3 linked regions of the Struthio camelus genome follow. Each later gene encodes a partner of the first gene's protein in a complex. Links are inferred from orthologs where the notes say so. Each region holds a gene or a part of one and is shown in the gene's direction. Other genes may lie near its edges. The genes, in order: NCKAP1, CYFIP2 and WASF2.

Region 1 (3,745 bases):
ATAGACTACAGTGGTGAAAGGTCAGCTCTAAACTAATTAATCTTTGCAACATTATTGCTAGGTATGCTATAAAAGATTATTCCCAACTCTTGGACAAAAAGCTGAGGCAGAAAACTAACTGCTAAAGGCCAAAAAATGACTCAGTAGCAGGCTTCAGATTAGAACTCTAAGTTCTTGCTTCCCGGTTTCATTCTGAATCATAAATTATCTTGTAACTGCTAAAGAGGAGGAGGAGGTTGGTAACAAATTAGTTACATTTAGGCTTCTCACATTTATTCCTATGCTTTCTGAATCTATTAGTTTAAAACTGTTGAAAGGCTGATTCTGATCTCTAATGTGAAAATATGAACCGAAGATTAAAATAAATGCAATAAAAAGCACAGATGGTGTCATTATTAAAAGAGAGAGAGAGAGAGAGAGAGAGAGAAATAGACTAGAAGATTAATTCTTAGGTGCATCTTCCATTAAGCAGCCTGAGTTGACTTTCGTACCAGCTGGTTGTGCTGGCTGCTCAGCAGTAGCACTGTCTCAGTAACAGGTAACAACGAAGTTTGGAATACAGGGAGAGGTCTCACGGATGCCTGTTTGGGGTATTTATGACATAGGAATCTCACTGTTACTTAAAAATGCATCCTTTTAAACTTTGTAGCTCCAAGAGAAAAAATATATGTGGCTGTGTGAGTCATCTAATTGGTGAAATGGTATTTCTCTGAATTTGCTGTGCAGCTTTCTAAAGCAATGGCTCAGAGGAATAAGAGCCTCATAAATTTCAGCGTGTTGCTAACTCTGAACTTATTGATACCACCTTCAGCAGATGTCTGTACGATTCTTTTTTTGCTTCCAGGATCCCATCATGAAAGTGGCTTGTGTGTTACTGACAAAGGTTCTCTCAGAAAATTAGTGAGTGTCACTAGTACGGATAATTGTGTCCATATACACTATACACAGCTCTGCTAACCTTCAGTTCTTGATTTCACATGATTAAGTGAAAAAATCAGTTTTCATTACAAATTTAGGAGAAAAACTAATGTGCTTCACTGTTTTGAAATACAACGTAGAATTCTAAGTAAAATACAACCTAACGACTCAGAAATTAAAAATAAAAACAAACCGAAGGGAAAACCAAATCCCATTCCTTCGGGAACCCAATTTTAAAAAAATGGAGCCTAAATTTTTACGAGCGGTGAGCGCCAGCTGTCCGGGGCTCGGGATCTCCTCCTCCTCGGTGGGCCCCGGCGGCGGGAAGGCGGAGGTGTCGCGGGCGAGCCCGAGCCGCGCGGCGCCCCAGCCCGCGGGGCAGCGCCGCCGCCGGCCGCAGGGGGCGCCCGCCGGCCGCGTCACGTGGCGCCCCCTGCGCCGGGCCGGGCCGGCCGCCGTCGCCGTCACGGTCGCCACGCCCAGCGGGCCGCGAGCGGGCGGCGGGAGGGGAGGCGGCGGCGGCGGCGGCGCCGTGCGGGGCGGCGCAGCGCAGCGCAGCGCCGGAGGCCGCCGCAGCGGAGGCCGCGCCGGGGCCGGGGCCGGGCTCAGGATGTCGCGCGCGGTGCTGCAGCCCAGCCAGCAGAAGCTGGCGGAGAAGCTGACCATCCTGAACGACCGGGGCGTCGGCATGCTCACGCGGCTCTACAACATCAAGAAGGTGCGGGGGCCCCGCCGGGGAGGCGGCGGGAGTGGGACCGGGGCCGGGCCGGGGCCGGGCTCCATCCCCGCCGCCGCCCGCCTGGGCCCTGGCGGAGCCGGCGGGGCTGCCGGCGCCTGCCGGCTGGCGGCTCATCCGGTCGCGGCCCCCCTGCGCTGCGGCCTAGCGGCGGCCGGGAGGCGGCGGCGGGGGCCTGGCTGCCTGGCGCAGGGCAGGCGCGGCCCGGCGCCTCGGCCGCCTGCGCGGGGCCTAGGCCGGCGCGTGCCGCGGGTCGGCGACATGTCGGCGGGCGGGGGCCGGGGCCGGGGCCGAGGCGGCGGGGGCCGGGGCCGAGGCGGCGGGGGCCGATCGCCCCGGCGAGCCCCGCGGCGCAGCCTGCGCTTTCCCACGCCGCCCGCCGAGCGCGTAGCTGCCGGAGGGGAGGGCTCCGGTTAAAATTAGTAAGTTTAATTTCACGAAGTTCGAGGCGCATGGTTGCTTAGCAGCTGCTGGCTTGGATTGGAACAGATGTTTTAAGCTGTCACTGGTGCTAAAACTGTTCTCTGCCTTATTAAAAAATAAAAAGGAAATAATGTTTGCCTAGGGTGAGACCGGTCAGAGATGCAGGAAGTCGCGCGTCGTGTTATCGAAGGGAAAATATAGTGCTGTCTTCATATGTAGCCAATATCTCTTCTGAAAGAAACCTTGCTTTCATAAATTGAAGAATGTAGATCATAGTCATCCAGTACTCCAGGTGCTTCATTTATACTTGCTAGCTTATATTTTTTTCCTGATGTGTAATACATCATTTGAACTGAATAATTTGAAAGCTTGCTTAATTCAGTTTCAGTAGTGAATCTTGGTAAAGGCTTTATTGCTTTATCTTAGAAGCGTTTATTCGTAAGAAAATTGCAGTGGTTACATTCAAGCAATAAGCACACCTTTGCAGGAGTTGTGTCAAAATATCTGTGCCGATGCATATGCTCGATTCTGCTGACTTCTGCTAGAGCAGTACTTTTTGCTTGAAACCTGCAGAGTCCGGTGGCTTCCAAGATCCCCAGTTAGCGAGCCTCAGTCTGCAAGGATAATGTGTGAAGTTGAGGTATCGCTCTGCCTTCTGAACCTAAATTTTTAGAGGAAGTGCTCCTCCTTAACACATTTGAGCAGAAATAGGTGTTTTGTCAAATTGGTTTTCTCATATGGGAGACTTCTACTCTAGAAGTAGTAAGGACTCGGTATAGCCAAACGCTCTATTGATTTTACTTAAGGTGGTGTTTGTTTCCAGGAAAAAAATGATTGCAGTGTTCAAAAGCATGATTGCAGCATTCAGTGTTGATCCAAAGCACTACAAGTAGTTACTGTCAGAAATTGAAACAAGGTTCCTTTAGTTTGCAGTTTTGTATGTTGGTAAACTTGCTTCAATTTAATAATTGTAATTATAGAAATGTACCTTTTAAAACAAAAGAGAACTTATTTATTTGTAGGGAAAATGACATCAAAACCTTAAAGAAGCCATTTGCATGTGTAGTTGTTACGTTTTTAGAGAGATGTGTGAGTTGAAAAAGTCTGGCTTAATTTTGCCTAAGCTAGGTCTTCTGTCAACATAGCTGTGGGGTTTTTTGTGGGGGGAGAAGGAGATGGGGGAGGTGGTAGAGACTCAGAAAATTAAACCTTTGCTTGACATACCTCCATGCCTTAAAAATTTTAAGTGTAGACCATGTCTTGATTGCCAGCATCTTGGACGGGGGACAGTTGCTAATATTAAGAGGTTCAGTGCCCACCGACATGTTTTTGCTGGCATATTTGGATGACAGCATCCTAAGCATGATTGTCCATATGGTATCTTCTGCTATTGCTGGTAGTAGTGAAGTGATGCAATCGGATAGGTTCTCAGTATGGGAGCATCATCACTGGAGATAACACCACCTTTTCCTCCAGCTGCCATCCATATAATCCAAATAAGGTTTGATATTACCTATGGATATAGGCATGTCGGAGCAGCTTGATTATTATGTGACATATAGCTTTGCAAATCTGGAGATGACCCAGATACAACTCTGTGCGGGCATTAAAATAGTTATTTTCTTCAGCTGTGGTAAATACTGCCTGACTATATAGTATCTAACTAGC
Region 2 (3,745 bases), on another chromosome or scaffold:
TTGGAGAGGGCCAACGACTCCAGGATGCTGATCAATATTTGATCTATATTTGATACATAGCAACGAGTTCCATATGCAATGAAATGCAATTTCTTCCTGTCCTGCCTGTTCTTTATCTACCCCTTTGAGGACCTTTCTTTCCATAAACCCAACGATAATGTAGGTTTCGACACGTTACAGGTAGCATTTGGAACTACCAAAGTCACAAACTTACTCCCCAAAATCATGCATTGCCCAGTCTTCCTTTAAACATTTCCAGTTGTGGGATTAGATGCACTGCAACACTTAGGAAGCATTGCAATAAACATCCATTTGCTCTTCATTAAATATCCATAAGTATCCACTTGTTCCAGTCGTTAATTACCTTTTTCCGTAGTTCTTTATTCCTAGTGCTTTATTCCCAATTAGGTCTAGACCTGCACGGTGAGAAAGAACTGAGACATCTGCCTTCACAGTTGGAAGACAGAAAAATTTGGCCTGGAAAAATCCAAAATTTCCTGAAACATTTTGTAATGAATATATTCCCGTGTGATGTATGGCTCTGTCTGTACTCTCCGAACTCTGCTCTCTACAACAGGGTGGGGTTTAGGTGGAACCTTCCTTGCTAATTCTCCTTGCATGGATGAGCTCAGTGTATTGTTCTGTTCACCTCACAACACCATGACGTTACCTCTTGCTCTCACATCCACACGCACAAATAGCTGATGCCCACACTGCATCTGATGCACACATCTGTATCTGCATGTGGTCTGCTCCTCACCAGCATTCTTCCCCTTTTGCAAAGAGACCTGCAGGACAAATGCAAAGAAGCTTATTCTATGATCTAAGACTACAAAAAGTAGAAAATTAAAATAACATAACATTCACAGAACTCCCATCACCATTAGCCTGGCTGATAATGGGAATGAGTTAAAAAAAATAAAAAAAAAACGAAAACACAACAGTTTTCACTGCCACAATTTTCTTGAATTGACCTTGTTTCATCCACGGCCTCAGAGTAATACTAGCTGTTAAATCTCTTGCATCTGCAGTTAGAATGCTAATTTACTGAATCTTTCTGACAAGCAACAGATAGTGAAAAGAGGAACTATGGCTGAAAAATGTTCCAGTTAAAGCTGATGTAGAAGACTGCTACATAGGGGAAGGAAGAAGGGTCTGTTCCTAGAGTTGCTATTAATAATGTTCAGGTGTTGAGCTGTCTATTTAAAATGAAGACAGTTTTGAAGTTCTGTCTTGCTGCTTTTGGAGCGTGCAGACCCTAGTGCATCCACTCTACCTATCGCAGCAGAACTACAGCACAGACCTGGTGCCCAAGCTTCCTTCTGGAGCCAACAGAGCTTACACCCAGAGCTTACACTGGGAGCCTGTGCTCCTGAGCAAGCTCAGACCCAAGCTGTCACGGGCAACAGAGCAGCAGGCTTTCTGGTAAGGAATCAGCAGTGGTTATTCAAAGCCAGGAAAGATCCAGATGTAGTCTATTTTTAGCATAGACCAATGTTCAGGAAAGGAACGCTGCCAGGGACCACTGTGGAAATATATCTAGACATGCCCTGGGCTTCCAACAGCCTTGGATATCCACCGATGTCTTTTTAACATCTGAACCTCTGAGAGCTACAGCAGAATGAATGAAAGTCCTTTGCAAGGTTTGTATCAATCTGCACGCAGAGATGTTACTCTGGAGGTTTTAAGAGGTCCATTTTGCATTTCACACTAGATCTCAACAGCTGTATTGGAGCTTTAAAAAGAATCACAAGCAGAAGAACTGGAAGCTTATCCCTGAAAAAAGGCCAAAAGGAAGATCTTTTGGATGTAGTGCTGACTCAGAAGAGGCTCGGAGCCCTGCGCAAAGGCATTGTCTTCTGGTTTTCATCCCTTACATGGTCAGCGAACCAAGGCTTTATATATATTATGGAAACAGGACTGTCATTAAAACAGGGTTTTAAAAAAATCTGTCTTTGGCACAAGCCGCCTGCCGTGCACAGCGCCTGCATGCTTGGCAGCCCGGCAGGCTCGGCAGCGGCAAGATGGGGAAGCGCGCGGCCGCTCCTGCTTCTCAGGCACCTAACTGCATTCACCTAGCGCTTCCCGGGGGCTGCGGGAGCCGCCACCGCCAGCGGCAGCCCCAGCCTCTCCCGCTCATAACCCGGGGCTTTTCGGCCGTTCTCCCCCGGCCAGTTCGGCAAAACGGCTCCCTTCTCCTCCTCCTCCTCCTCCTCCTGCTCGCCGGGAAGGGCGGCCGCGGCGGCTGGCACCGCAGCCCGAGCAGGGGTCGGGGCGGCGGCGCGGAGCCGCGGGGGGATGCGGCCGCCCCTGCGCGGGGGCGGCGGCGCCGCGCATCCCCCGCGCTGCCCGGGGGAGGAGCCGCCCGCGCGGCTCCAGCCCCTTCCCGCGGCGGGGGCCGGGGCTCCCCCCCCCCGCCGCCGTGCGGAGGGGCCGGCGGAGAGCCGCGGAAGTGCACTTGCTGCAGCCATTTCCTGCTCTTTGTGCGAGCGGCGCGGAGCGGCGCGGAGCAGCGCGGCATCCCGCGCAGCGCCAGGTGAGCGGGGCCGCGGCGGGGGGCTGCGCTGCGCGGGGGCTGCGCGGGAGCATCCTCCTCCTCCCCCTCCCCCGCGGCTGCGCGGGGTTGCGCCCGCCGCCGCCGGCCCTGGCGCGCTGGGCCGCCCGCGCGGGCGCAGCGGGCCGCGGGTGCGGGCGCCGGGGCAGGTGCCGGCGCCCGGGGCAGCGGCAGCGAGGAGGCCCGGCGGCGCCGGGATGTGCGCGGATGTATCCCACAATGCTTAGAGCCACCTGCAGTATCGAGCCTCCCTTGCATTGATTGCACAGAGCCGGGGAAAAGACCCAAAATCGCACCGCCTGGTTGCGCGCATCCCCCCGCGGAGGAGGGGAAGGGCGACGAGCCCCGGGCCGGGATGCGCCGCAGGCCCGGCCGCTGGCGGCGATGGCAGCGCTGGGGTCGGAGCGATGCTCCGCGCGGGAGAGATGTGGGTGGAGGAGATGGAGGACCGGCGGATGCACTGGGCCGAGGAGCGAGAGGTGGCCCTGGCCCCCGGTCGGAGCTCCCATCACCAACAGCATAGAAAAATGGTGTCCCTCGGGGAGGAGAGGGGAGGAGAAAGCCGTGGGGTGTGAGCGGGGCTTGGGAAGGATGGGCCCGAGCTCTGGGGATTTTGTGCTGTCAGAGATTTTTCAAGGTTTATGCTTTGGTGTTGGTTGGAGTTGGCAAAACCTGGGTGCTCCAGAACGACTGATTTTCCACGCATGAGGCAATCTGTGGTCGAGATGTGCCCCGGTAGCGTTTCTTTGTGTTGAACTTTCAAACCAAGGATGTCAGTGATGAGTTCACTGGTGGCAGCCACATCCCACCTGAAAAGGAATGAAAAGATTTCACAGGAAATTTCCATGGGTGGAAGGGATCAGAAAGGAACGATGAGAAGAAAAAGAGGCACATACTAAACCGTCCGTGCTGGCTTAGTGATTGAGAGTCCTCTTTACTGGTTGTTTTTGGAAGGGGGAGGGTGTCTGGGGGCAGACGTTGAGGTCCTGCTGAGTAAGTGGATACGGCTGCTAGCAGCAGAGCTTGTCCCCCTTTGCCATCTGTTACTTTCCACGTGGGGGTTTCAAACCGCAGCTTTTGGATCACAAAGATCTCACCGAATTGTGTTTGGTCGCTAACTCACCAGAGCCCTGGCCCTGCCTGCCCTGCACAGATACCAAAAGAAAAAGCACGCTCGTATTTCACGTTATG
Region 3 (3,745 bases), on another chromosome or scaffold:
GCTGGGTACCCTCGACAGTGGGTAACCCTGGTGGTGGGTAACCCTGGTAGTAGGTGCCCCCAGCAGTGGGTAACGGTGGTGGTAGGTACCCCTGGCAGGGGGTACCCCTGGTGGTGGGCACCCCTGGCAGTGGGTAACACTGGCGGTGGGTACCCATGGTGTTGGGTAACACCAGTGCCAGGTACCCATGGTGGTAGGTACCCCTGGCAGTGGGTACCCCCGGTGGTGGGCACCCCTGGTGGTAGGTAACACTGGCAGTGAGCACCCCCAGTGGTGGGCACCCCTGGTGGTGGGTAACCTTAGTGGTGGGTACCTCCAGCAGTGGGTAACATTGGTGGTGGGCACCCCTGGTGGTGGGTAACCTTAGTGGTGGGTACCTCCAGCAGTGGGTAACATTGGTGGTGGGTACCCCTGGTGGTGGGTAACCTTAGTGGTGGGTACCTCCAGCAGTGGGTAACATTGGTGGTGGGCACCCCTGGTGGTGGGTAACCTTAGTGGTGGGTACCTCCAGCAGTGGGTAACATTGGTGGTGGGTACCCCTGGTGGTGGGTAACACTGGTGGTGAGTACCCCTGGCGGTGGGTACCCCTGGCAGTGGTTCGTGGCTGACAGGCAGAGGTGGGTGTCTGGGTTTGCACCCCCAGAGCTGGTGACTGCCAGGCTCCTGCCTGGCCCTGTCCCCCTCAGCCCCCTGCCCTGCTCCCTCCTCCCCTCTCCCCAAAGCCCCTCACCCATACCCCATCACTGCCACCCTGTCCCCTAACCGCCACCCTGTCTCCACCCCTACCCCCTAACTGCCACCCTGTCCCCACCCCCTCCCCTAAATGCCACCCCTGTCCCCAGCCCTGTCCCCTAACCACCACCCTGTCCCCACCCCTGACTCCTCACTGCCACCCCTGTCCCCAGCCCTGTCCCCTAACCACCACCCTCTCCCCACCCCTACCCCCTAACCGCCACCCTCTCCCCACCCCTGACTCCTCACTGCCACCCCTGACCCCCAACTGCCACCCTATCCCACCGCCGCCCCCTCACCCCCACCCCTGCCCCTCTTCCCCCCCCCCCCCGGCGGCCGCGCCGCCCTGGCGTGACACCCCCGCTCCCCCAGGTGGAACTTTCCTTGCGGGGCGTCAGACCATAGAGGCGAAAGGCAGCACCAAGGTGCAGCACTTGGGGGGGGACTCCGGAAAGGAAAGAGACCCTTTTCCTCCAGGCTAACCTAGAAGAAAACCGTGCTCTGGCACCCACAGTCCCAGATGTATATTTTGAAATTCTGTCGCTTTGCGTGACGTCGGGATTCTCCCCGCTTCCCTGGAAATGTTTCTCTCCTTGTCATCCAAGGATCCCCTCTTTAATCCCCTGGATGGTACTTTCCTCCCTGTTTACTCACTTTGCGCGGCCCGCTTGGGTGGGGTTCTTTTGCTGCTCCGATTTCGTACGCAAGTGGCGTAGGACGGCTTTGATAGACGGCAGCGCTCAGCCAATGGCAGGGCAGTAGCCTTGGCCAGCGAGCCAACGGTGTAGCGGACCGGCGGCCGGGAGGAGGCGGGGCAAAGTTTAGTCAGGGTAGGGAGGGGGAGCCGTGGAATGGCGGACGGCCGGGCTGGCCCGCCCTGGTGGTAGCGAGCCGAGGGGGCCGCAGAAGACAGCCTCGGAGTGGGGTGAGTGCGAGAGGGGGTAGCGGCGACCCCCCGGCCCCCCCCGGCCGCCTCTTCCCCGGGGAAAGAGGCGGAGGCGCTGGGGTGGGCCGTTAGGCCCTTGCCAAATAGTGAGCTCTCGGGGTGAGCCGGGCCCTGTTTCCTGCTACATAGTGAGCCCCCTGCCCTGTGTGGGCTCTGGTGCCCCCGGTCTTGGGGGGGGGTCTGGCCCCGGCCTGGGGCGGGGGGAGGAAGGGGGAAGGGAATGGCCTTATCCCAGGCTGACACTTGCCCTGCCCCTCCCAGGGGCCGTGGCTCAGTGCTGGGCTGCGTGGCCTGGGCTGGGGCTGCCCTGCCTGGGGGGCTGAGGGGGAGGGGGCTGCCCTGCCCGGGGGGTGCCAGTGCCCTGGGCTGGGTTAGGGGAAGGCTGGGTGCTGAGCTCTTAGTGGTGTCAGCCCCTGTCCTGGGGTTGTTACTGAGGTCTAGCTTAGCTGGGAATAACTTGAGGGGCCTGGGGAGGAGGAGAGGTTGCTGGGGTGCTCCCTAAAGGAGAAGAAGTGCTGCTTTGCTGGGGGTGGCGGGGGTCCTTCCCTTACCAGGCTGGTCGCAGCCTTTGCTCTCAGGCCTTGACATTAGTTCATCGAAATGGTGCTTGCGCAAATGCGTGCGTGTCTCTTACTTGTGTAGAAAGTTTATCCGTGCGAGTGGCTGACTGCCCTTGTTGGTGCAAGTTCTGGTGACTGCCCTCATGGAGGGTTGCTGTGAAAATGCTTTCTCCCTGCTGGCTGTCCTCCTGCCCCAGAAGTGGGTGCATCCTTCAGTATGTGTGGGTACACCTTATGGATGTGTGTAAGCCCCTCAACTAGCAGCTAACCATGCAGCCATGTAAAATGTCAAACTACTTGAGGTAGGACTGTGTGGGTGCATATGTTGGAAATATCTTCCCTAGTGTTAAATCCCTGGGCACTATCTGAAAAGAAGCTTTAAAGGGTGTAACGGCATATGGTTGGGTAATTTGGTCAAATGTGCTGACCTACCAGTGACCTCAGATCATATTTCTTTCAGAGAAGAAATAAGTTGCCAGGCAATGTCCTCAGGGTTGTACCTCACTAGCATTTGGGTTTATATTGGAGCTACTCCTTTGGGATACAAATAGCGTATGTCCTTTGGAGAAAGGCAAGATGTTGCAGCTCCTCCCTGTTAGCTATTGTTTGACCTTAAAGACCTTCCTCTGGTAGGAGTTTTTTTCTGCTGAAAGTTTCACATTTGGCCTTACTGATTTACTTCCATTAGTAGCAGCAGACTTGGGAGCCCTCACGTAGATGGACCTGCTAGCGGGACTATATGGCGTGTGAACGCCAAGTATTGGCCTGTTCAATAAGACATTAGAAAATGCTGACAGTCTAAGACTCCCAGCATGGCAGATCTTAGTGGATATGAAATAATCTTAATGATGATAAGGAACTTCAGTGAGTACACCTGATACAGACCAGGCTATAATTGCTGCAGACAAGGCCACAAGTTATCAAACCTTTTGTAACTCTCACACTTGTGCATCTTTCCCTCGAACTGGGAAATCTCGTGAGAACGGAAAGATTGAAAGTAAAAGACGTGACAGGCCAGTAGTGTGTGTGTGCGTTTCCCTGTGGCAAAGTTGATGCAAAATGTTACTTTATGGGAAGTATTAAAGTGTGTCTGCTTGATCACATGAGGAAGGGGAATAGTTATGTTTTCTGCTAGTTTTAAAAGCTTGTAGAATTGGTTGCTATAAAATGCTGCTGGAATTAAAATGCTGTGTTGCAACCCTATTCATTAGGAATTCTGACTGGCCTTTTAGTGACCTTGAGTGGATTTTTGTCATAGAAACTAATACTTAGCTAAAACAAACTTAGTTTAAAAACAAACTAAAGCTTACATCTACCAACTGAAAACACAGACAATATGTTGATAGAGTGACTTTGAAAATCCACTTGCACTCGCAGCCAAGGACAAGCTTTATCCAGCGAGTGGGGTGGAGTAGGTCAGGCACTTCACAATTCTGCAGGTTTTTTTTTTTTTAAGGTGTGTACTTGAAATACAGGATTTGAATGAAACAGCTTGACCACAGTCTTT

Evidence for each region.
Region 2: NCKAP1 (region 1) and CYFIP2 share a complex: the UniProt entries of both Homo sapiens proteins name them as parts of the WAVE1 complex. The link is inferred for Struthio camelus from reciprocal best matches to the Homo sapiens genes NCKAP1 and CYFIP2.
Region 3: NCKAP1 (region 1) and WASF2 share a complex: the UniProt entries of both Homo sapiens proteins name them as parts of the WAVE2 complex. The link is inferred for Struthio camelus from reciprocal best matches to the Homo sapiens genes NCKAP1 and WASF2.

The regions. Positions count from the first base shown.
Region 1 is NC_090947.1:17,842,161-17,845,905, forward strand, and holds the start of NCKAP1 (nck-associated protein 1), read left to right. Parts: upstream 1-1,480; 5' UTR 1,481-1,528; coding exon 1,529-1,636; intron 1,637-3,745. UniProt on the Homo sapiens protein: Part of the WAVE complex that regulates lamellipodia formation. The WAVE complex regulates actin filament reorganization via its interaction with the Arp2/3 complex. Actin remodeling activity is regulated by RAC1.
Region 2 is NC_090954.1:11,240,003-11,243,747, reverse strand, and holds the start of CYFIP2 (cytoplasmic FMR1-interacting protein 2), read left to right. Parts: upstream 1-1,526; 5' UTR 1,527-1,643; intron 1,644-2,396; exon of another isoform or gene 2,397-2,536; intron 2,537-3,745. UniProt on the Homo sapiens protein: Involved in T-cell adhesion and p53/TP53-dependent induction of apoptosis. Does not bind RNA. As component of the WAVE1 complex, required for BDNF-NTRK2 endocytic trafficking and signaling from early endosomes.
Region 3 is NC_090964.1:6,580,333-6,584,077, forward strand, and holds the start of WASF2 (actin-binding protein WASF2), read left to right. Parts: upstream 1-1,521; 5' UTR 1,522-1,657; intron 1,658-3,745. UniProt on the Homo sapiens protein: Downstream effector molecule involved in the transmission of signals from tyrosine kinase receptors and small GTPases to the actin cytoskeleton. Promotes formation of actin filaments. Part of the WAVE complex that regulates lamellipodia formation.